Linked DNA regions of Rhinolophus ferrumequinum. The protein of the gene in region 1 interacts with the protein of each later gene in a pairwise test. Links are inferred from orthologs where the notes say so. Each region holds a gene or a part of one and is shown on either strand. Other genes may lie near its edges.

Region 1 (7,078 bases):
TATAATGTTGCTTTTTTAAAAAATGTGTACCTTTGAGATGTTGTCATGATTCAACCACCCAAGAGTAGAATTTTAAACCAATCAGTCTAGAACTTCCTGATCAACACTAGTGAGGAATGAAGTGCTCCATCTCTAGACCTGGACCATAAACACTTCCTTTGACTCTGTGGAGCGGACTCCAAGATGGAGTCTGGGACCCTAAATGATTGTGTGGAACAATGCCCTTCCCACCAACTTGCATTGTACTGTAACATTGTGAAAAATAACAAACACAGCTAGTACTTTTTGAAGTCCGAGCTGCCACCCCAGTGGAACTGCTTTGGAAGTCTTACTCCTCAAACCTTTGGAATGTTAAAACTGGGCAAAATAACCTTTGTACTGAGCCTAAAGCAGCACTGCATTCCAAACAACTGTTTGCAAAGCTATCAAGAAAGCAGACATGACTGCCAGACTGAACATTCTTTAGAATTAGCATCACTGTTAGCTTATCCGCACCTATAGAAATTCCCTTTTCATGCAGTTAGTTGTTCCCCTTCCCTTTCTCATAAATACCTTTCCTTCACCTAATTGAACACTATGTGGGTTTTTATCTGAAGCAGTGTAGAGTAGCTTTGTGGATGAAAAAAGGGGTTCTATTAAAAGTAACCTCACAGTGATCTAATCATAAATTCCTAACTGGGCAGGCCATAGTGAGTAGTCATGTCTGAGGCATGTATCTTCTTTAGTAGAAGGTTAATCTTTAAACAAGCCCAGTCCATTGTTTCTATGCATCTAGGTAGGTACACATCTTTGAAATGCCTCTCTTCAGACCCCCCCCCTTCTAAAGTGGACCACCCTCAAGAGAGCAGTCTTAACTATCTTGTAATCCAAAGCTTGCTTTCTCCCACCTTATGTAATCTTCCTCAGTTCCCACCTTAATCTCAAATGCCTAAAAGGAACTGCAAACTAACCATGTGGGGAACATTTGAGATCTTGCTCCCAAGTGTACGTCATCAATTTGGCTCTAATAAAACACTTACAAAAATTCTCTACAGGTTTGGTTGTTTCTTACATCAAGAGCTTCAACAGCTACAGCTATTCTTTTGGATCTCATTTCCTTGTTGCTTCTCAAAAAAAAAAAAAAAAAGTAAGTGTAAATCCATGGCTTTGTATCAGCATCAATTACCTATGGAGTCAACCTAAATTCAGTGTGAAAATTAAAGCCTTGTTTCCCAGAATTTGCTGCAGGTTACTTGAGAAAAAGCAAAAAAGTATAAACTAGAGAACCCTAAAACCATCTTAAATCACTAAATAAAAATTAACCATTTATTTGTATATTTTTATTTGGAAATGTTTGTATCAGTACAGTGGAACTAAATTTTAAGAGACACTAGATGTCATTACTTTGGATATTATTAGTTTATTACAAAAGAGACATGGAAATTATTTACATGATGAGATTTCAGAACTTCAGTGGAATGGGCAGCTTCACGTGATGCCATGTCAGTAGTGATTTATTTCAGTCTACATACTTTCCAAGAATGTCACCATCTCTAAACAAGAAATAGTCCTGCAAATAGAGAAACCGTTAGTTAAGAATAAAGACAAAAGCAAATACTTAACTTTTTTTTAAAACTATTAAGTTTACACACCTTGTCATCTATAACTACTTTGGTGCCTCCATATTCTGGAAGAAGAACTTTATCTCCAACTTTCACGCTAACTGGTTGAATCTCTCCGCCCTTAAGAAATTAAGAATATTTATTAGCAAAGACATCTAGTTCACCAAATATTTACAGCTAACTTCTATTAATCAAATGTACTCACTCAAATCAACTGTTAAAGAACTTGGTAGTGTTATAATTTATACAATTGTAGTTCTTAACTCAAAAATATCACTGTAGAGTTACATTTTGAAATAATGCCTACACAGTGGCTTAAACTGAAACCTGATTTCAGTGTAAAAGTTCAAGGAGTTATACTGGGAAAGCTAACTTAAGCCAAGTTAACTTAAGCTAATTTTTTAATGGTTAAATATTAACATAACCTATGGACTATGTAAAATAAACTAGTTTTTAAAACCATGTGTACATGGTCATGGTTAACTTCAGCATACAAATTTTTTTTTTCAAATTTCCTGAATTTGAAACATACTTCTTTGGAGATTCCATTTCCTTTCCTCCAAAATACAGATTTGGGGAGAGGGATGGAAGCACTGTGCCCAATCCCCAAAAGCTTTCTATTTTTGATTCCAGGATAGCTCCTTTCTAGAAGTTTCTCTGAGGCACCTGGAGCAATTAACATATTTGACCCCAACATTTTATTGTGTATTCTGCCTGACACTTTGAGGTCTGAGATCTAACCAGTTAATTGGAAAGTATATGGGAGGGTAGTCCAACCAGTTCCTTTCATAGGTATGCCAAGCAAGGTGAAAGTAGTTAAAAGACTAGCACAATCTCAGAGTTAGAAGTTAGACCAAGAATTCAAATTTCCCCTCAATTCTTAAAAGCCGCCACAATTATCTTCAAGCATAAATTGTAGTTTTAATATCCTCGAATTCTCTATCATATAAAATAAGCAATTTTACAATCATTTTCATTAAAGAGACAATTAGACGTGATTGAACTAGGGAATGATCGTGAAAATAAAATAAGCTACTTAAAAAGCTATTTTTAATAATAACCAATAATTATTTTTCTGTCCATTTCACATAAAAAATAGTTCATTTTAGCCCCCATTTACCTTTCCTTTAGAGCCGGATCCAACAGCTACTACTGTTGCTTGCAATACTTTTCCTTGAGATTTTTCTGGAAGCATAATGCCTCCCTTGGTTACAGTTTCTGCAGCACTCCTTTCAACTAATACTCGGTCAAAGAGGGGGAGAAACTTTCTAAATGCCTGTCCTGCCTGTAGAGAGAGAAATGTTTGATTTGAAACAAAAAGAATATGCGATTATATTCTGAACAGGCAATGCCATCGTAAATTACGCTATCAAACACCGCATGTGGCTTTCCAAGATAACGGCCCAACTCAATTACTCGTTCACGAAACCCACTGAACGTTCTGAACTTTCTGCTCTATATTCCAAGTCAATTTCCAATTCCCTATGTGTGTTAAGGGTCATTGTTACTCCTCTGGTCAGCAGCCAGACGAGCTTTACAGTCAACCTTAGCTTATTCCAAGGTCACGTATTTTCCTTCCTTAGGTTTTTCTGAAAATGTTCAGCACACACTGAGGTCAATCTCTCCGCCTAAAGCCATGCTTTCTTTACATTACACAGGCCCTGCAGGAACAGCGGGTCCGCCACCGCGCGTGCATCTGGGTTCCCGCCCCCTAGCCTACACGCCCGCCGCACACGCGCGTGCAAAGAACCCTCGGCAGAGGAAAAGGTCGACAGGACCTGGCTTCTCCAGGGTTCGAGCGGATACCGACCCCTGGGTGACCCCCTATCCCTCCTACTAGGCCCAACGCGAACTGTCTCAGGCCGATCCATCCGGGCACGCCAGGCACCAGCCCACGCGGACTCACCATGACTCCGGCAGCAGCAGTTCGTACTCTGCTCTCGCGCCGCGGCCGCAAGGAGAGACCTGCAGTCCGGTTTTCGAGACACGTGAACTTTAGAAAAGGCTGCCCAGGGCGCAGGCGCGCTCGCTCCAGCCACCCGCCCCTCCCCTTAAAAGAGGGCGGCCGCCGCGGCCCGCGCCGCGATTCGTCCCCGGGGGCTCTGCGCAGGCCACTGACGCAACGACCGGGAGACGGAAGAAAAGAGGAGCTCTTTCTAGGCTTTTCTAGGCCGCCTGCGGAGGTGAAAGTACTAGCCCTTCGCCTCCTCCCGGAAATGACGCTATTTGACCCTTGACCCACAGAGAGTGCGTCGCTCCCCGGAAAGTTCTGGAACCGAGCGTAGCCCGGGAACTAGCTTAAGCCGGCTCGAGAGGGCTGAGCCCGCTGGCCCGGCCCGGCGCGGGGAGGGAGGGGCGGAGCTGGCGCGCAGCGCGTGCTGATTGCCGGGCCGGGCCTGGGAAAGAGGTGGGAGGCGCCCGCACACGCTGTGCCGCGGGGCGGGGGAGCGGCGGAGGGAGGGGACACAAGCTCATTGCCGTGTGCGCCCTGTACTCTGTCCCTCACTCGCCGCCGACGGCTTTCCTTGCCGCTCGCACGTCGTGCTGCTGCCCCGCAGGTATGCGGCCTCCCCGCATCATGTCACCCAGGCGCCTCGGACCCGGCGCCGGCCTTCCCCCGCTGCGGTCCTGCCTGAGTGGGCCGGCGGGATAGAGCCCGAGTTTCCCGCCAGTGCCGGAGGCCATGGCCCGCTGGCCCAGGCCTCGCGGATCCATGCGGGAGCCCGTCACGTGCGGCAGGGATCGCTCGCCGGGGCAGGGCGTAGGAGGGAGGGCTTGCTCAGGAGTGTGTGTGGAATTTGGGGAGTGTATTCACATGGGCCCTCCGATGCAGCCCACTCCTGGCCGGCTGCAGAGATTCGGGGAAGGTAGTCCCAGCCGCGTGGAGACTGCCTTTGGCCCAGCGGGGTTCGGCCCCTCCACCCTTGACCTTGCTCGGGGCGTCTCGATGAAAAGACACGTGGGGCCCCGGCCGCCAGCATCGGGGCCTGGCGGACTGCTCAGATACAGTAACCCCGACTGGATACATGAAGACACATTTTACTCAGCAGATTTTTGCACCGTCAGGAATGTTTTTACTCCACCGGCCACCGTTTTTATGACCTGCCCCTTTCTTGCAGGCTTTTCTCAGGGGCACGTTTGGAATGGGTTTGCTCTGAAGGCCCTTTTAGCGGTAAAAGATTAACTTGTTTAGAGAGGCAGGGGTAGGTGGCCAGGAGCAAGAAGGTGGGTGTGCCTTTTGCCAGTGCGGTAGGTCAGGCGTGGGGGCAGCCCTTGCAAGCTTGCGCTGGTACTTGGTGGTCTGTAGTTGGGGCGCCTTCTGTGGCCCAGGTTTGGTGGGTGGCAGAGGCCAACCTAGCTCACGGCTAACATTTCTTGTTCTGTTGCACAGGTGTTGTAACCTGCTTCGGGTAATGCTACTATTGTACTGATGATAAATGCTTGTTTCTCCTCCTCCCCAGAAATGCTTCGATTACACGAAGTCCTTCGCCAGATTAGGCCAGTGTCCAGGGCACTGGCACCTCATCTCACTCGGGCGTATGCCAAAGATGTAAAGTTTGGTGCAGATGCCCGAGCCTTAATGCTTCAAGGTGTGGACCTTTTAGCCGATGCTGTAGCCGTTACTATGGGGCCAAAGGTATCAGTATTGTTATTGTTGTAATTTATAATAGTACTCTAATTAGGGAATAACTTACTGATGGCAAATAGTCACACTGAACTATAGAACAGTACGTGGGTATCCTTTTTTGAGAGAATCCAATTTACATGTGAGTTCCACATTATGGGTTAATCTTTTTTTCTTTTGCGTATATATAATGGCCTTAAAACTTAAACTTCTGCCAAATTTGTGAGATTTTATACAATGTGTCGTAGAATCCAGTGGTAACTCATAACTCAAGGTGGATCCTTAAACTCAAGGTAGAATTAATCTTGCTTGCCTACTTGAGTTAACTTTTGGATTCTTCTCCAGTCCGTTAGTACCAAGCATAGAGGGAAGAATATAATTTATCTCCTATAATATCTCAGGAGGTGCTAGTTTTACCAGTGTTTTTCTGCTGTCCCTTCTGTTCCAAAGCACATTTAAAATTTTAAGTCTCATTTAACATGAAGAGATTGGTGAGTTGAAAGGTAATAATTTGAGGAAGACAAAGGTTGTGCACATTTCAGATATCAAAGTGATCCAAATTGTATAAAATGTGGCATTTGCATGCCTCCCAAATAGCTACTTGGTTTCAAATCCAAAAGCTGCCAATACTCTGCACCATGTTTGAGATTTAATGTCGAACAACCCTGGAAGAGAGTACTGTGCTTGCATTGCTGTTAGTATTTTAATAAGTATATTTCAAAGCAAGTTTAAAAGTAAGTGTTCGCATTAATTTCAAAATAGCTGACACTGGATAAAACTTAACTAGAAATTATGTGAAGAATAAGCTGGAATTTCATTATAATCTACCAAATTGGTATTGTTTTATCTGTATTCTTGTTTCATAAAATGTCATCTTTTAGTCTCTAGGTTTTTTTATCTCACATAATTCTTCATCCAGAGTTGTGCCCTTCGCAATAGAGAGGTCATTTTTTCTGTAAACTTAGAACATCAGTGAACTTGCCCTTGAGATTCATGCTGCAGATCTGATTTAAAAAAAAAAAAATCATGTTGAGGCTTTCAAGTAATTACCCTATTATTAAAACTGCTCTTTCTGTTTTAAGCTAACTAGTACTTTGAGTGTGTGATTCTGTCACATTTTTTTTTCTCTGAAATTGTAGGGAAGAACAGTGATTATTGAACAGAGTTGGGGGAGTCCCAAAGTTACAAAAGATGGTGTGACCGTTGCAAAGTCGATTGACTTAAAAGATAAATATAAAAATATTGGCGCTAAACTTGTTCAGGATGTTGCCAATAATACAAATGAAGAGGCTGGGGATGGCACCACAACTGCTACTGTACTGGCACGCTCTATTGCCAAGGAAGGCTTTGAGAAGATTAGTAAAGGTGCTAATCCAGTGGAAATCAGGAGAGGTAGGAATGTCTTTTCATTGTCCCCCCAGTGTTTTGAACTGTCTATTAAATTATATTAGAAAGTTGATTCTTCCCTTAAAAATTCTTAACGTTGAGTATTGCTTCAGCATATAATGATTGAATACCTGGCTACATATGTTGTTAAGGAGAGAAAAGTGACTAAGACATTCCCTGTTGCCAGTCCCCCCCAACTCCTCTAGACCCTCCCCCTGAAAGCCAACAGTTTATTGGAAGATACAGCATATACTGTGTATCTTGAAAATAGGAAACTTGTGGGGATTAAAGCAGAAAGATTATATGGTTTTGATGTTTTATGTTTTACTTTAGTTATTCGGAAAGTAGGGCTTAACAAGAAACTAAGTCATCCAAGGATGTCAACCGGTTTTTGTTTTTTTAAAGCACTTTTTTCTTACCTCATAATAGCACATACTATGTTATTGTTCTGCATTTTGTTTATTTC
Region 2 (8,042 bases), on another chromosome or scaffold:
CTATTATCATGATTCCCTCATGACAATATACTTGTCAAGTGAAAATATATTTGACAATAAACAAATATAACCAATAAGCCCACCTGTAATTGTGGTTTTATACCAGAACAATCCTTAAAATGAGTCAGCTACTTACTGGGTAGAGTGAAAAACCCTCCCTCATAAATTGCTGGACAACCATTGTTCCAAGTCTTGGCTACATTTGAAAATAGCTTTCTTAATCAGGTTAACGAAGCTTAATATTTAATAAGAGACTATTTTGGTCTGGGAGAAGGAGAAGAGATTTTGTTAAAGATTGTGATACTCCTAACATTAGTGTGAATTAACATGGAGTTAGGTACTGTATTACTTTTCACAAGCTACAGATGAAGCAGCAGGAATGTCAACATTTAACATAATCAATCCACGTCAGTGGTAGAACCAGGAACGCAGCCCAGATTTCTTGGCAGTCCAGCTAGTTCTCTTGTACTAGAGAACATTATAAACTGCTTTGCAGTGGCAACAAGACGGTCTGTTTTCTTCTAAGTTATGCTTAAGGCCATATCAAGATTCTACTCAACTGAAGAGAACTTCAGCTCAAAAGTCCGATTCATCCAAGACTTTTGGGAAGTTACTTTGAGCTTCGTTGAGGTTCATATCCTCCCTTTGCTGGAAAGGAGTAAAAACATGCAATGGGAACTTCACCAACAGTCACATATTGAAGAGTGTGCTTTTGTATATGTATGTCAAAACACTGTTTAGGAGAAATCCTTCAAACAAATCGGATGTATCATCTCCAGACTAACCATGGACCATCCCTTCAAGTCTACCTGCCCCGTCCAAGTCCCATACATCCAAATATTCTAGAAATCAAATTACTTAAGCCAGGTCTCTCTAATATTATGTTCTTTATCAGAGAGCAAGACAGAAATATATATATTATTACAGACGTAATCTGAAAAAAAAATACATAGAATAGATTTCATCAAACCTCACAATCGTATTTTTAAGATTAATGAACAATTATTCTTCAGCAATTATTTAACCTTAGAAAAATTGCAAAAGTCTAGAATATGGAATAACCAAATCAGAACGCCTGGACTGATCCTGGGGCATAGATATGTAAAGTGAATATTGAAATTTTATAATTCCTGTTATCATTGCAAAAGTCAGTGGTAAAAAAACAAACAAATGAAAACATCCCTAAACCTCAAAGCGACCACAAATTTTTCTACATGACTTTTGTGGGATGCTATCATAGCGTTCAGTATTCTGAGAATACTCTCGAGAAATTTGAAAACCCATTATATCAAGAGTCTTTAGCAAATGATACTGTGAAGACCTGCAGCAAATTATAATGTGAAGGCCTCTAGAGGAGAATACAAATTAGTTATTATAAGGAATCCTTGGCAAATAAACACATACATAAATACAATAAGAGTTTAGGGAAAAGCAAAAGAGCAGCAAAAATGCCTTTCCCAAATCCTGATTTTAAGACCAAACTGAAGAAATCCATTCCTACTCAGGTTGTATGTACATTTCAACTGCTTGTTACAGAAGTTTCTACATAGGAACTCCAGGCTTATAGGACTACCCTAACAATTGGCATCACTGTTTACAAAGCGGTGCATTAAAAATACATATCGCGATTCATAAATCTTTGCAAGAAATGTTCCTTATGCAGATGTTAGAAACACTGTACACACAGTCTAGCTGATAATTGTCACACTTTTCTAATGTCATGGTATAGCCATGATTGGGAAAGCACAGCAACAAAGATAAGGCACTCGTGAAACGACTTACTCTGGGGCTGCTGCTGCTTGCGTGAGCAGGGCTGGTTCTTGAGGGCTTCCAGGAAACTTCAGTCCTTGACTCTTCTGCTTATATTTTTTAATTAAACCCATCAGAACTGCCTGGTGCCCAATTTTTTTTACCAATTGCTGAACCATCCGATCATTAAGTGCTAGAAGGGCGGCCCCACTTACTTCTTCCTCTGGGAAAATGAAAGAAAAAAGAGTCTCTACGTGCCTGTCTGGCTAAAGCATTGCAAAACACAGCACTCTGAGCAAGAAAAAAATATTTCTGGTGTAACAAGGACCATCTAAACTTATCCTCTGATGTTATATAATTATCTGTATTTTTGACAAAGATAGAACACTGATATTGCCTAGTTCTAAATCGATATCTGCTCCGAAGAAAAAAACTAGAATATGGAGTCACAATAAAATCTTATTACTTCCACATTATTTCCATCCCTCGCCCTTCAGATTCTTTCTTACTGGCATCATTTTTTATACGGAAAAAAAAAATTCTCAAGAAATTATTCTTAACAACACCTCCCAGGCAATACTCACTACTTGGAAATCCAGCACTGCACAAAACACATGCTTCATTATTTAAGGACAAAAGTAGTATCAAATGATAAGAAATATGTATTTTAAGTAACTCTTTTTTTTTTAAATTTATTTTTAATTTATTGGGGTGACAATTGTTAGTAAAATTACATAGATTTCAGGTGTGCAATTCTGTATCACATCATCCATAAATCACACTGTGTGTTCACCACCCAGAGTCAGCTCCCCTTCCATCACCATACATTTGATCCCCCTCACCCTCCTCCCCCACCCCCCAACCCCTTTACCTTCTGGTAACCACCAAATTACGTTCCCCAGATTAATTTTCAAAACCGTGGCCATCCTGTGGTCACCGACTGCCCTCCAATCCCCTCACCCTCCCCCCCCTTAAGACTTTACTTTATTTGAGTTCTTTTTGAAATATATTCTCCTGTCGATACTAGGCCAAATGCAGACTCTGCCAGTCGGTCAAGAAATGCAAGTTCCCCACTGCAGCAGCTCCACACTCACAGGCATTAGGCACCAAAAGCAATTACCAATAACAAAGGACACTCAATAACTGGCAGCTCAATTAACATTTTAAAAAGTATAAACAACTCACCTTGAAACCTATGAACTAGTTCTCCTAAGTTTTTCTCCACCAACCAACTGCAGACCTGATCAACTGACCAAGCTTCCATTGCTGTATCCTGTAAATAAATACACCTGTAGAAGAGAAAGATTCTTCAGTTTTCTTTCTGATTTTTGTTTTATTTTATTTGATATTTTTACCAGTCAGTTCTTTAATCTCATCTCTTTCCTTTAGCAAATTCTTTTAAACTCTCAATACTAAGCTTCTTTAAAATTACTATTTTCTGAATACACATCTAAAAATTGCTAGCAGAACAAATACTCTCTTTAAAAATGAGACCGATTTGAACCTATTTCCTAGTCTCATTTCTCAAATTTCTCCACCTTCCCCTACTTTTTTGTCCACAGGCATCCCTTAGCTTTACTAACAGACAGCCAGAGATGTACAATGGTACCCAATCCTGTACCATTAACACCCAGGTTTCTTCACAAAGAAAAGAAAGGTGTGAAATTCACCACTACTAGGCTCATCAGGAAGTGGTTGACATTTACAAAAGGGGTAGGCAGGGGAGGAAGGGAGGAAGCAGCAGATAAAAGCCTGACAGAGACACTCAGTAAACCAAGACTGGTTAACCCCTTGGTGCTGCTCAGCCAAGAGACAGAGCTGGTAGCTGCTTCTGATTACTTTGGGTTAGCAAGAGGAGGAAGCAGGAGCCAGATTTTTCAAATGTCTCTGAATCTTTCTTTCCTTCCTTCCAATAATACTCTTATATATTCCATTCAGTTCTAGAACTTTATTGAGCACCATTATAGCTGGTAAGATAACTGGGAAACACTAGCACGTTGATTGAAAACATTTTATAAAAAATTTATTTGGGCAGATTCAAAATGGGAAAATAATTAACTATGTTAATCATAAGTGAAAGACATGCATTCAGAGTTTAAAGTATTTTTTAATTATTCAGTTGTTTTTGTATGCTACCACTCATCTATAATCACTTAGAAATTTTAAAACAAGCATACCAGTTTCAATAATTTTTTCCTACTTCCTTGAGGCAGCTCATTCTGTGCGTGTGTGTGTGTGTGTGTGTGTGTGTGTGTGTTTATAATTCAACCCAAATTACTTTTTGGATGGGGGAGAAACTGAAAAATCGTAAAACATTTTAATCTTTTAATATTACTTTCGATTTCATCTTTCAACCAAGATGATGTAGATTTACTTGTATAGTGAGACACTGACTCTTTTATAAAGACGGGAAAGCGACTCTTGGAGAAATGGAATCATACCGAAAGATAAAAAAATATTAGATCATGTATTTAAATTTTTTTGCTAGAAGTTCTCAAAATAAATTTTGTATTTTTCATTTCTTTGTATTTGAATAAGTGGACAATTTCCAACATCACAAGAGTGGTGGAAAGGGAAAACATATTTACCTTTCATACTTGACAAGTTGAAAAGAGAACAGCCTTCAAAAATCATTTCCTATAAAACAAGTGTACTTCAAAGTAATAAGCCACATTCTCATAAGTATTCACAAAAACCAAGTTGCAAAATTGAAAACAAGGGTTAAGTACAGAAGAATGCCTTTCTGAATTACAGCAGTGGATTTAATTTGCTAAGACAACAATAGCCACAGAACTCCTCCCTTAGGCTAAGTAAGCAGCTAGAGCAGGGTGTGAAAAGTCATTATTTGCTCGACTCTGCTGTAAATTAAAAATCACACCTCCCTGTCACACTTCTGGCTTCCTTGTGAAGAGTGGGACGTAGAAAGAAAAAAAAACACCCGAAAACAATTCTCTAAACTCCAAGATTAAAAGGTATGCAGAGCATAAGATACTTCCCTGCAGCCATCAAATGATAAAAGGAAATTTGAAAATAAAATGAGTACTTGGAAACCCTCTCATGTTTTAATTCCCAGATTATTACCTAATTCTACTTCTGGGAAAAACAAAACAGCTATCAAGTTTTAACCTCATACAAACACAGTAAGATTTTTTTTTTTTTTTTTTGAATACTACAGTTTTGAGACAGTCCAAGATGGTGGAAAAAAAAAAAGACTACAGTTTTTGCCCACTTGTTTTTCTGAGTATTTAAGAAAATAAAATACTATCACTGCCTAGATAATATAAGATCTTTAAATGGCAACCTTACAACGTCCTCTCCCATACAGAATGGAGAGATTATTTATGATTTTATACATAAAGGAATAAAAGATATGTCAAATGAGAAAAGATATATCCAGCAGCTTTGCTGCATGTCCAGAAGTTGCAGAAATATCTGAAAAGATTTTGAAATGTGAAGACAAGTACTATCACTAAATATTTTAAGACACAATAATACAAAAAGAATAAAAATAATAACAGCATGTGTGACTACTCCAGCCAAACTAGTCTCATTATTTGATCAAATTATACTTCAATTTAAAAAAGTTTATATTAAATATTAAGGGATCTCATCTAATTAAAGCCAGGAAGAGCTAAAACTTCAGCTAATGCAACCAAAATGTGGGCAACTTTTATTTAATAAATTTGTGAAAACTCCAAAGGAAGGTAATAGTGCAAATTGCTATGAGTGTGGTTTATAATCTTCAAGAGCGATGTAGCATATAAAAACATCAACCACAAAAAAGCACTTTTTAAGAAAATATGAAAACATTTTGTCACTTTTCTTTCTGTTTGCATTTTTGTTTTTAAATCCCCAGAGTCTCCAAGCTAAGACAACAAAAGATTTTCAAAAGCTTTGCTGGTGGCTTATGCCCTCTCCTGGATCAACGGCTCATTCTGCCCTGGGAAAAGGAACGGCTGTACTTGAAGGAACAAGCCTAGGGATGTGACTGTCGCATGGAGCAGTGTCCAGGCCATCCTGTTGGGTAGAACCTTGCTCCAAAATGAAGCCATGACATCATTGTACTCCAGTGGAGCCAAACATTGCGTCCACTTTGTGCCATTGTTCATTCCAGTCATCACCAGATCAGGAGGAATGAAAACTGGAATAGTCAACTAGAACCCCTGCCTACCTGAAGTCATCAAAAGGGTCACTGCCTAGAGAGCTCAGAGCGAGGTAAATGGGATACACCAAAGAAGTGAGAAGCCTGACCAAGAAGATAAGACACCTCCATAAGCAGAGTATAACGTAAAGTCAGTTATGATGGGTGCCATAAAAAGCCCTATGAGCTGGATTTTCCCACTCACCTGGAAATGAAGGAACCTTGATTTGGAATCTGACTGAAAGATATAGTTTAGATAGTGAAGGAGCCAGAGGAAGTGGAGCCAATAGAATGAACTGAAAATTAAAAAGCCAGAAATAAACGAGGTTTTGGGATGCGAAAGTGGACCGTACTGCCTGGAATGGTGAACACCTGGTGGAAGACCTGTCTGAAAGATCACTGGAGAGCCTGGAATACTGAGTTCACAGTTTATAGATATACTTATGCTTGGGACAGTCACTAAGCTGACTGTATATTTCATAATTTAGTGAGATTTTTTTTTTATGCAGTTGTATCAGATAAATTACAGAAAAGGGTGTTCTTTCGTAAAGTACATTATAATATGTATGAGAAGGAAGGGTTTATCTCAGACATTCTCACAACGGCACACAGAAACATGCAACAATAATGAACACCACTCAGCAAGACACCGCCACACGTCCACACGAACACAGCAGTGAGACACTGATATACCAAGGCTATGAAACCTTACCGAGCTGTTTGTACAGTGCTGCCAATGTAAGCGCATGGTGGCAAGTTTGAGAACTTAATTGTCAGACTTAGTAAGATACAAAGAAAAATATTTAAACCTTGTACTGTATATGTTTTAATATAGTTAAGACTATCGTATAGTTATTTTTATTTTTTACTTCTATTATTTCTCCTGGTATCAAAAGAACTTCCCCATGTCATTCAACTTTTTAAAACATAATTTTTAATAGATAGCCTTCCCATTTCTGGAGGTATAATTTATTTACCCCAAGTGTTGAGTGTTTGAATTGCTTCTGGTTTTGTGTGTATGTGTGGGTATAGTTATTAAAAATAATGCTACTGAGACAGGTTAGTTAGTATGGTTGCTCGGTAGACGGGGAGGTCCCTAGTGGAATAAACAAAAAAGCAGCCATATCCTGAAACTCCAGGCCCTGGAATGTCTCCTTCACTCCGGGACAGAGACATGAGAATACACCTTAAGGTTAATAGATAACCTCAAATCCCTTCTGGCCGGACAAAGGAGCAGATCTGATAGGAATGGGCTGGTTCATTAATCCCTGGGAGGATGAGCAAACAGGACAAACCTAATAGATGAATTCTATTAGAAGGCTCCAGCCCCCTACCCCAAGCAGGCAAGGGAAAGTATAAAAGTAAAAGCCTTTTGCCTCAGTCACCGGCACCCCCATTCGGGAACCCCTCCCACTCGGGAGCTGCAACCTTCTCTCCTGCCTCTCGTAAACTATCCTCTTTTTACAACTTTTTGCCTCACCCTGGTCCATGTGTCCATTCTTTGGCTTCACAAGACACGATCCCGGCCCGCACCCAGAAACTGCCAGCAGATCCTGCATCATTTACATCATTTGGGGACTCACAGAAAAATATTCCTACTTCACTACAGTGAGCGTCTTTGTTCATAGATGATAGATAGTTCAAGAATTATTTCCTTTACCAATCAGGATTGTTCACTTAGAGGTATAAACAATTATAAAGGTTTTGATTTTTTTTGCCAAAATGCTTTCTGGAAGGAATATCCCCCAAACTCTCTTACATACCAACTAGCACTGAACAATAGAAATTTTATCGCTAATGGAAATGTTTTGTATCTGCATTGTCCAATTTATTAGTCCCTAGCCACATTATAATTATTAAGCATTTGAAATGTGGTTAATGTGGCTGAGAAAATAAATGTTTGATTTTATTTAATTTTAATTAATTTAAATTTAAATTTTGGACAGCACAGGTAAACAGTTTCTGTGTCACTAATCTCTTGGCCAGGAGGCACTTATCAGCATCCCCCCATAGCCTCTCAGGTGTAACCACCACAGCTGGGAAAGGCCTACGTCCACTGCCCAGGAGCTTTCTTTAGCAAGCAGATGCCTGGGGCAAGCTGGAAATGGAACAGTCTTAACAATGGACTGATAGGATTGGGTGTCCCGATACT
Region 3 (7,579 bases), on another chromosome or scaffold:
ACTGACACTGATATTTATCTTCAGAAGTAAAATAATAAACAACTGATTCTCTCTGAGCAAAGCTATTTTCTTTCTTTCTTTTTTGCTTTCTTTCCTCTTCTTTCTTATTTTTTTTAGGTCTAGCATTTTTAGCTTTGAGTAACAGATTGTCCAGAGGTTTGTAAGGATTCCCTATGCAGATGGGAAAGGACACAAAGCAGCCATTTTAGCAGCCCCAGGCTTTCACACAGAGCAGTACAATCAGGGTTTAAGTTTATGCCTCACAAACCTCCTCTGTTCGTGGTCACGATGATTGTGACTTTTCTCCGATTACCGAGGAGGAACAGCATGCAGAATGAGGAATACGCACCCTACCTGAAATGAGAAGCAGGAACTTCCAGCTTTTTGTAGTACAAATAGGAGATTCACCAGTGCGGAGTCAGACAGACCCTGGGGTCTCCTATGCAGGTCTTAGGGATGTTGTGAGAGAAATGGTCACTAGAGGGGCACTTTGTTTGTTTCGTTTAGTCCTTTAAAACATTGACAGGTACCAGAGATTCTATGCTGTGGAGGAATAATATATACAATTTCTGAATAAAAATAGTAATTACAGTTTTATTTCTGAAGTCAAAAAATTGAAACAATTCTCTAAGGATAAGGTGGCTAGAGGTTAAATAAACTGTGGTATATTCACCTGATAGAATGATAAACAGTCATTTAAAATGGAAATATGACCAAGTTGTAGCAAATGGAGTAACATGGAAAAATGTAATAACATGAAAAATGCTTCTGAGTACATTTTAAGCAAACAACAGGATAAAATTTGTTTAGTCTCAGAGCTAGCTCCAACTCAGGAGTGAAGGAGAGCCCTCCCAGTCCTGCCTGCCTCTTACAATAGCCAATAAAAAGCCTGTATTTTGGTGGTGGGATTGTGACATCATCAACAATCTAACCAATCTCCCTGACGATTATTTGCATAGTTTATTCCTCCTAATCCAGCAGAACGCAATTTCTTTTAAGGAGAGCATTGAGTGGAAGTGGAAATCTCCAAAAGAAAGGGAGGAAAATCACATTAACAAAGGAGTATATTTAATGATGTTGGTATCAAAATACAGTGATCCAAATTATTATATCTAGTCTCTCTAGAGAGTGCTTTCACCTTCTAAGGAAAACACTCTACGTAGTATGTTAAAATAGTTCTTTGAAAACTACCTACTCATTTGATGTTTAAAATTTTTTTTAAGAATTCCTACAAAGTAGGAAACAATTTTCTTGGATAATTTACAAGCCTCTTACTATTGGCAAAAGGAAGGCTTTTATTTCTCAGACTTAATTGCTTTTACAAAACAACAACAACCCAAAACCTACTCCTTGCTTACCTGTTGATCTTGGCAACTTATCCTCTATTATTAAAACTTAATCAGTTTATCAAGCTAAATGAACTGGCTGTTGACAAGGGAACAGGATTCCACAACCCTGATCTTTGCCTTCCTTGTTTATACAATTTACTGGTTTAACAAATTTGATACCACCAGGTGTGCCCCCTTTCATTAGCCTAACTGGGATTTCCTTCCACAAATAGCATTAAGTTTAGTAGGACAATTCTGCCTTTCTCATGTGGCAGACAGGGGGTTAGACACGTTTGTTCACTAACTTTGTTTCATTCAAGTGTACTGGGCACACACACTATGCGTCAAGCATTTTCACATGCATTATCTAGTTTAATCCTTACAATAACTATGTGAGGATAGGTAATATTAGTCCCGCTTATAGATGAGAAAACCAAGGGTGAGAGAAGTTGAGTGATTTCGTTGCCCAAGAACACACAGGGAGTAACAGAACCATAATTCTTACATGTATTTCTAACCCCAAGACCAGTGTCCTTCTTACTGCACCATGTTATTTATTTGTAATTAACTAGTGGTGCCAAAGCAGAATGGAAAATCCTACTCCTACATACCAAATGTAATCTCTTGCATTGTAAATCTGCAACGTTTTGTCCTATCTTGAACATCAAAACATAGTATGTGCCTATATTTTTCCAAAGAAGCCTAAAACAATAGAATGATCAGATCCTTTAAACAACATTTCAACCAAAGTCCTTTCAGATTCTGTTTATCTTAGGTACTCAAGAATTTACTATGGCTAATGAAAATGTGCTCTCAGCTTCAAACTCTATATACTTCCCACCCAAATTCCTCAGCAATTTGTTCTATAATATGACACTCAGTTAAAGTCAGTAATGGGTGAGATACATTTAAATGAATTCCCAAGGATAGAACCATTGGAGTGGAATGTGTGATGCTTTTGAAACTGGATGACATCTCTGATTATAGGTATGGCCCTCATTCTGTGCCAGGCAATGTCTAAGTACCTTACATATGTTACTCAACACCCTCTAAGGTTGTCTAAGGTATCATCAGTATTCCCACTTCCAAATAAGGAATCTTGGGCATAAAGAGGTTAGACAACTTGCCTCCAATGGTCAGTAGAGAGCAGAGCCAGGATTTGTCCCTAGCAGTCTGGCCACGAGAGTCTGCCTCTCCTAAATGGAATGTAAAGTATTACCTGATTTCATGAAACACACCACAGACATTTTATTGACCTGTATTATACCTTGCTAAATATGGCCACAAATAGGAAATTTGGCCATCATGCTATATATACATAATATAAAAACCAAACTTGAGGCCAACTTCAGTCTAGTATAGAAATGAGGCATAAGTCAAAATTTAATGGTCTCCACTTCCTTAAATCTTCACACCGATTTCCTCCACTTTTTTCAGCTTAGAGGCAGGTCATAAACATGTGCTCACCATTGCTGGCCACTGCTTGATACCCAAGACTCGCCTGGAGTCTGTGGGGCTCCTCCACTTCTCAAGGCCAGTCAGGCAGCAGACACCTGTCTGACATCTTGCAACCTGGGAATCTGCCCCCACTGGTTCTGTCTAGTTCTGCCTCCTTCTTCAAGGCATTCTGCCTTTCCCTCACCACTGAAAGTGCTAAGGCTCATATCTTGTGTTTCTACATTGTGTCTAACACTGTGTAGTGGATGTGGGGGGTGGTTCTACATTTCCAGCCCATCTTCAATTCCCATCTTCTAAAAATGGAGCTGCCTAGTTTAGAAAGTAGCTTGCTTGACTGAAGTAAATTCTTAACAATTTAGGCTCTTTTAGGATACACATCAAAATGAGTGGTTGGAATGGGAAAAAGACAGAACAGAGTCAGGAAACTCACAGACTAGTAGGACTGAAGTGAGGTTAGAATAGCATGATGGGTGTAAAAGAGATAGGTAAACTGTAAAATGCTGTAGAGATCATCACTGTGTGACTCACTGACTAATGGCTCCTTCACTACAGTCTAGGCCAATGGTTCTCAAATGTTAGCTTGTGTCAGAATCACCTGCACGACTTGTTAAAACAGATTTCTGGGCCTACAATTTCTGATTCAGTAGGTCTGGCTGGTGTCTGATAATTTGCATTTCTATCAAGTTTCCAGGTGATGCTGATGCTGCTGGCCCCAGGACCACACTTTGAGAACCACTGTTTTAGGCTGCTGGATGGGCAAAAACTCCTATCCCCAGTAAGCATACAGTAGGCACTCAGGGGGGGTTGTTATTATTAGGCTCCATACTTTGATAACCCCAGTATTTGTTCTCTTCTGCCTCCAGATTACTCAGTGCAATTTGGCTGAGATTTATGGGAAAAAGAGATTGCATTCTTTTCCTTCTCTGTCATATGTCTCAATCTCCTGCCATTTAATACCCTTTCTTATTTAAGAGCTGCTTCACAGTTTGCAAGGAACTTTCACACACATTATTGTATTCAAATATATTTAATTTGTCATTTCTGAGCATCAAGCTAAGATTCATACTGGAGTTACTTAAAGTGGGGAAAGGAGAGATGGGGCAGAAGAACACCTCCACCCTTTGCATTTGTAGCGCTGAATATAGCCAAAAGTTTGTGTTTCAGACCATGTTTCCTAGAAAGGATGGGGTCTTCCTCATTGAAGGGATGTATAGTATAACATGAACTGAAAAGTTAGAGCAAAAAAAGCAGTGATGAGAAAGCATCCCTACTGAGCCCCCTACCCACCAAATAAAACGAGTGGGTGGAGGATATCCGGAGAGTGCCTTTACCGGGAGGGTCCCTCCGGCATCTGTTAATACCGGTCCCGGGTGGCCCGCCGCCCCCGCCTCAACTCGGCAGCCGCTCTCCGCAGCGCAAACACGCAGCAGCACAGTCCTCCAGTCCTCTCCTGGGGGCTCACGCGGCGCAACCAACCCTAAAACGTGGCCGCGCGACGCCCCCTCGGCCCTCTGGGCTTCCCATTGGCCCACTGCCGTTGTCACTCCCTCCTTGCCTCGCCTTCCCCTTACCGGCATGTTAGGTTGCGCTTGCCGCTGGCTGGGGCCGCGACCGCTGCTTTGCAGCAGGCAGAGCGCGGGTGGGGAGCTGGGCGCAGGGATCCGGGCGCGGGCGGGGAGCTAGGGGGCCGGGCTCGCGGCGGACTCTGCGACCGGCCCATGCGGGGCGGGGGCCAGGGGCAGGGCCGGGGGCCGCAGCCGGCGCTGAGGGCGGCCGCGGAGGACCTGCCCGGCCGGCTGCCCCCTGCCCTGCCTCGCCCAGAGCCCGGGCAACCCGGAGGGATGCGCTGTGCCTCCAGGCTCCCCCGTCCTGCCTATGCCCTGAAGCAGAAAGTTCGGGGGCCAGGGACCGTCCTCCTCCTCCCGCTCCAATGACTGCCCAAGGACTCCTGCTGCCCAGCCTCGGCTGTGCCCTGCCTTCGCTCCCCAGGTCGTAATGAACTATTCCAAGCTGTAACCAACGCTCCCCCTCCTCGCCCCTTCCTCCCCCTTCTTTAAAAAGATTTATTTTTTAATTCAAGAAATTGTCTTCCGCCGATTCCTTTCCTCGTTAATCATTTAGACCCTGGGCCTCGTTTTTGAGTGTAAGGGGGTGCGGTCTCCCCGAGGACAGCGCTCTAGAAGGGCAGAATCCCCTGGCCGCCCCACATACATCATGAAGAGGTGCAAATCGGATGAGCTGCAGCAACAGCAAGGCGAGGAGGATGGAGCTGGCCTGGAAGATGCCGTTTGCCACCTGCCGGGCGCGGAACTCCGGCCTGGGGAGGCCACGGGTGCTAACTCTGCTGGCGGGCCAACTTCGGACATGGGCGCTGCGGTGGCGCCAAACCCGGGTCCCCGAAGCAAGCCTCCGGATTTAAAGGTGAGCACAGACCCTCCCCTGGCCAGCCTAGCCAGTGACTTAGCTTTTCCCGCTCAACGCAGAAGTGCTTTAACAGGATACAAGTGATGGGGAAGCCAGGCAAAGGTCAGAGAGGATGTTGGGCCAGAACACTGGGCTGGACGTCAGGTACCATTTGTGCCTCTGTCGTTCAGCTCCATTTCAGGCCTCTGTTTATTCCTCATTATTCAGCAGACATTCTAGTGACTCACCCATCCGAGATTGTTTGAATGATGTGTGTGAAGTACTATTCTCAGACAAAGGGCTGGAGAAATCCAAGAAGCTAACTAAAAAGTTGACATCACTTTCCCTCTTGTAGGATGATAGGAGAAGAAAATGACAGCGTGGAAGGCCAAGCAGAGGACCATTAGTTTCCTTTGCTGTTTTAGTTTCCTCCTTTTGGGACCTTCCTGGATGAAGCTCAGTTTGTCCATCTGTGAAAGGGGAGTGTGGATTTCTTGCCGTTAGGTGGAGCCAGAGATTAAGCCAGTGCTTGAAGATCCCTGCCTGCCTGCGGAACCAACCCCCAGGGTGGAGAACTGACAGGTGGCCGATTGGTGCTTGGGCTGGTTTGGGGCCTCGGTTCAAGTTGCACACATGCTGAGCCGGCAGTTAGAACCAGAAGCGGAAAGAGCCTATCACAGGCAGCTGGGAGTTGTTTATTTCCTGGCCTGAGGTTGCCGGGACTATTATGGAGCTGTATTGAATATGTCTCTATATTAATTAAAACAGCAGCTGGGATAAATAATGCACCTTTGCTGGAGCTGCCACAGGGACTGCACGCTCAGGCTTCTCAAGCCAGCTCCCCACCAGCTTGAGCGACATGATGTCAGCCGGAGGAAGGAACTTAGATACCCTGGAAATTGATGCCTCAGAGAGATTTTCTCCAGAGGGGGTGCAAGGTCTTGCTAGGGGAGCAAAGAACTCTGTTATGTTAAATAAAGCCTGTATCCTATAGCAGCAGCCACTAAGGAGCTCACCAGAATAAGCCAATGACATTCCTCATTTGGCCTGAGCGGCTCAGAGTCAGGAAGTCAGAGCGCAGGTGAGTGTGCTCTTAACCTGTGTGTGTGTGTTACCTGTTTGTGTTCCTTGGGGAGAGGTGAGAAGGGGGACAGTTAACTCTTTGTGCGTACTTTAAAAAATTGTAGTAGTTATTCAAATGTGACCTCTGGTTCTGCTGCTGCCCTTTTCAGAGGTTCGAGACTAGCCTTATGTCTAAAGATGAGCTCTGCTGGCTAGGCTGTAACAGGACACTTGGCCCAGCTGTCACCCCTGAGCCCACCCTGTGTGCTCAGGTGTGGGTCCTATTTTAAATGAGATGGTAAAGGGACAGGGGTGTCCTTAATGCTGATGTGGGTAGGGGCCAGCCTTCTGCTGCAGACTTCAGCTTCATTCTGGGTTGATTCAGTTGAGTCTGGCCAGAAAACCCTGATTTCTTGACCAGATGGGACCCTCGCTCTGAGTCCATGAGGGGCAGCCTTGGAAACTCCTCATGCTCCAGCTCTTATGACAGCTCTAGTAAACTGCCAGCTCCATTCATTTTCCCAGTTCGGTTCCCTTCATGAGGATAGGTGAGCTGGTTGTGGAGTGGGGGCTGCAGTGTCTGTCTGTGTAGATAAAGCTGCTTGAAGAAGCTCATTCCCCTCCACCCTATATCATACCTCTGTCTCTCTCTCTGGTGACACCTTCATTCTGGTTGTGGCAGTTACAGCAACAACTCTACGCTTGATATTAAATACTGAACTTCCCTGAACCAGAATTAAGACCAGGTTTGAGAAAAGGAGTCATACCCCCCACTCCCAAGAAAACATACCACCAAGGTTGATCACTGCTATGTTGACCCAGGATGGCAGCTAAATGGAAAAAACATAGCTGCTGCCTGCTCAGTGGAAGCACCGGGAGACTGGGGGGGCTTTTCCCGTTTATCTCTGTCAGCTTTCTCACATGTTTACAGGGTATGGACTTCAGAACAAGACATGAGCTTAGGGGCTATCGCAACTTGATTTGCTGTGTGATCTCAGGCAAATTACTCAACTTTTCTGAGCCTTTTTCTGGGGAAAGGGACTAGGAATATTGAAGTATGTCTGAACATGTTCTCTAATGCTGGAAAAGTTGTTTTCCAGTGTTTGGCACAGTTTGCTAGTGATGGAAAAATTCAGTCATTGGCTCTAGCACTGGGCAGAAGCTATCACCCCTGTTTTAGACTTGATGGTTGTACCAAAAAGGAGCAAATTTAATTTTTAACACCTCCCCACCCCACACGTGTGTTTGGCCTAGGTAGGACCAGCAGTTCTGGCTTGCTTTTGTTTTCATTTTAAACTTTGGAGATAGGAACTTTTGGTCCCTTAATC

What was found.
Region 2: the proteins of HSPD1 (region 1) and SAMD3 interact in binary tests that used the Homo sapiens proteins (3 or more experiments, as listed by UniProt). The two-hybrid records come from large-scale screens. The link is inferred for Rhinolophus ferrumequinum from reciprocal best matches to the Homo sapiens genes HSPD1 and SAMD3.
Region 3: the proteins of HSPD1 (region 1) and TMCC2 interact in a two-hybrid assay, tested with the Homo sapiens proteins (2 studies listed by BioGRID). The two-hybrid records come from large-scale screens. The link is inferred for Rhinolophus ferrumequinum from reciprocal best matches to the Homo sapiens genes HSPD1 and TMCC2.

Annotation. Positions count from the first base shown.
Region 1 is NC_046291.1:33,113,400-33,120,477, forward strand, and holds the start of HSPD1 (60 kDa heat shock protein, mitochondrial), read left to right. Parts: upstream 1-4,001; 5' UTR 4,002-4,159; intron 4,160-5,062; 5' UTR 5,063-5,064; coding exon 5,065-5,238; intron 5,239-6,365; coding exon 6,366-6,618; intron 6,619-7,078. Other genes in the region: MOB4 (MOB-like protein phocein), read right to left, coding at 1,504-1,549, 1,632-1,721, 2,722-2,886, 3,508-3,510. UniProt on the Homo sapiens protein: Chaperonin implicated in mitochondrial protein import and macromolecular assembly. Together with Hsp10, facilitates the correct folding of imported proteins.
Region 2 is NC_046286.1:77,949,231-77,957,272, forward strand, and holds the start of SAMD3 (sterile alpha motif domain-containing protein 3), read right to left. Parts: upstream 3,069-8,042; 5' UTR 3,014-3,068; coding exon 2,935-3,013; intron 1,973-2,934; coding exon 1,783-1,972; intron 1-1,782.
Region 3 is NC_046305.1:25,953,501-25,961,079, reverse strand, and holds the start of TMCC2 (transmembrane and coiled-coil domains protein 2), read left to right. Parts: upstream 1-4,523; 5' UTR 4,524-4,775; exon of another isoform or gene 4,776-4,907; 5' UTR 4,908-5,000; coding exon 5,001-5,207; intron 5,208-5,544; exon of another isoform or gene 5,545-6,270; intron 6,271-7,579.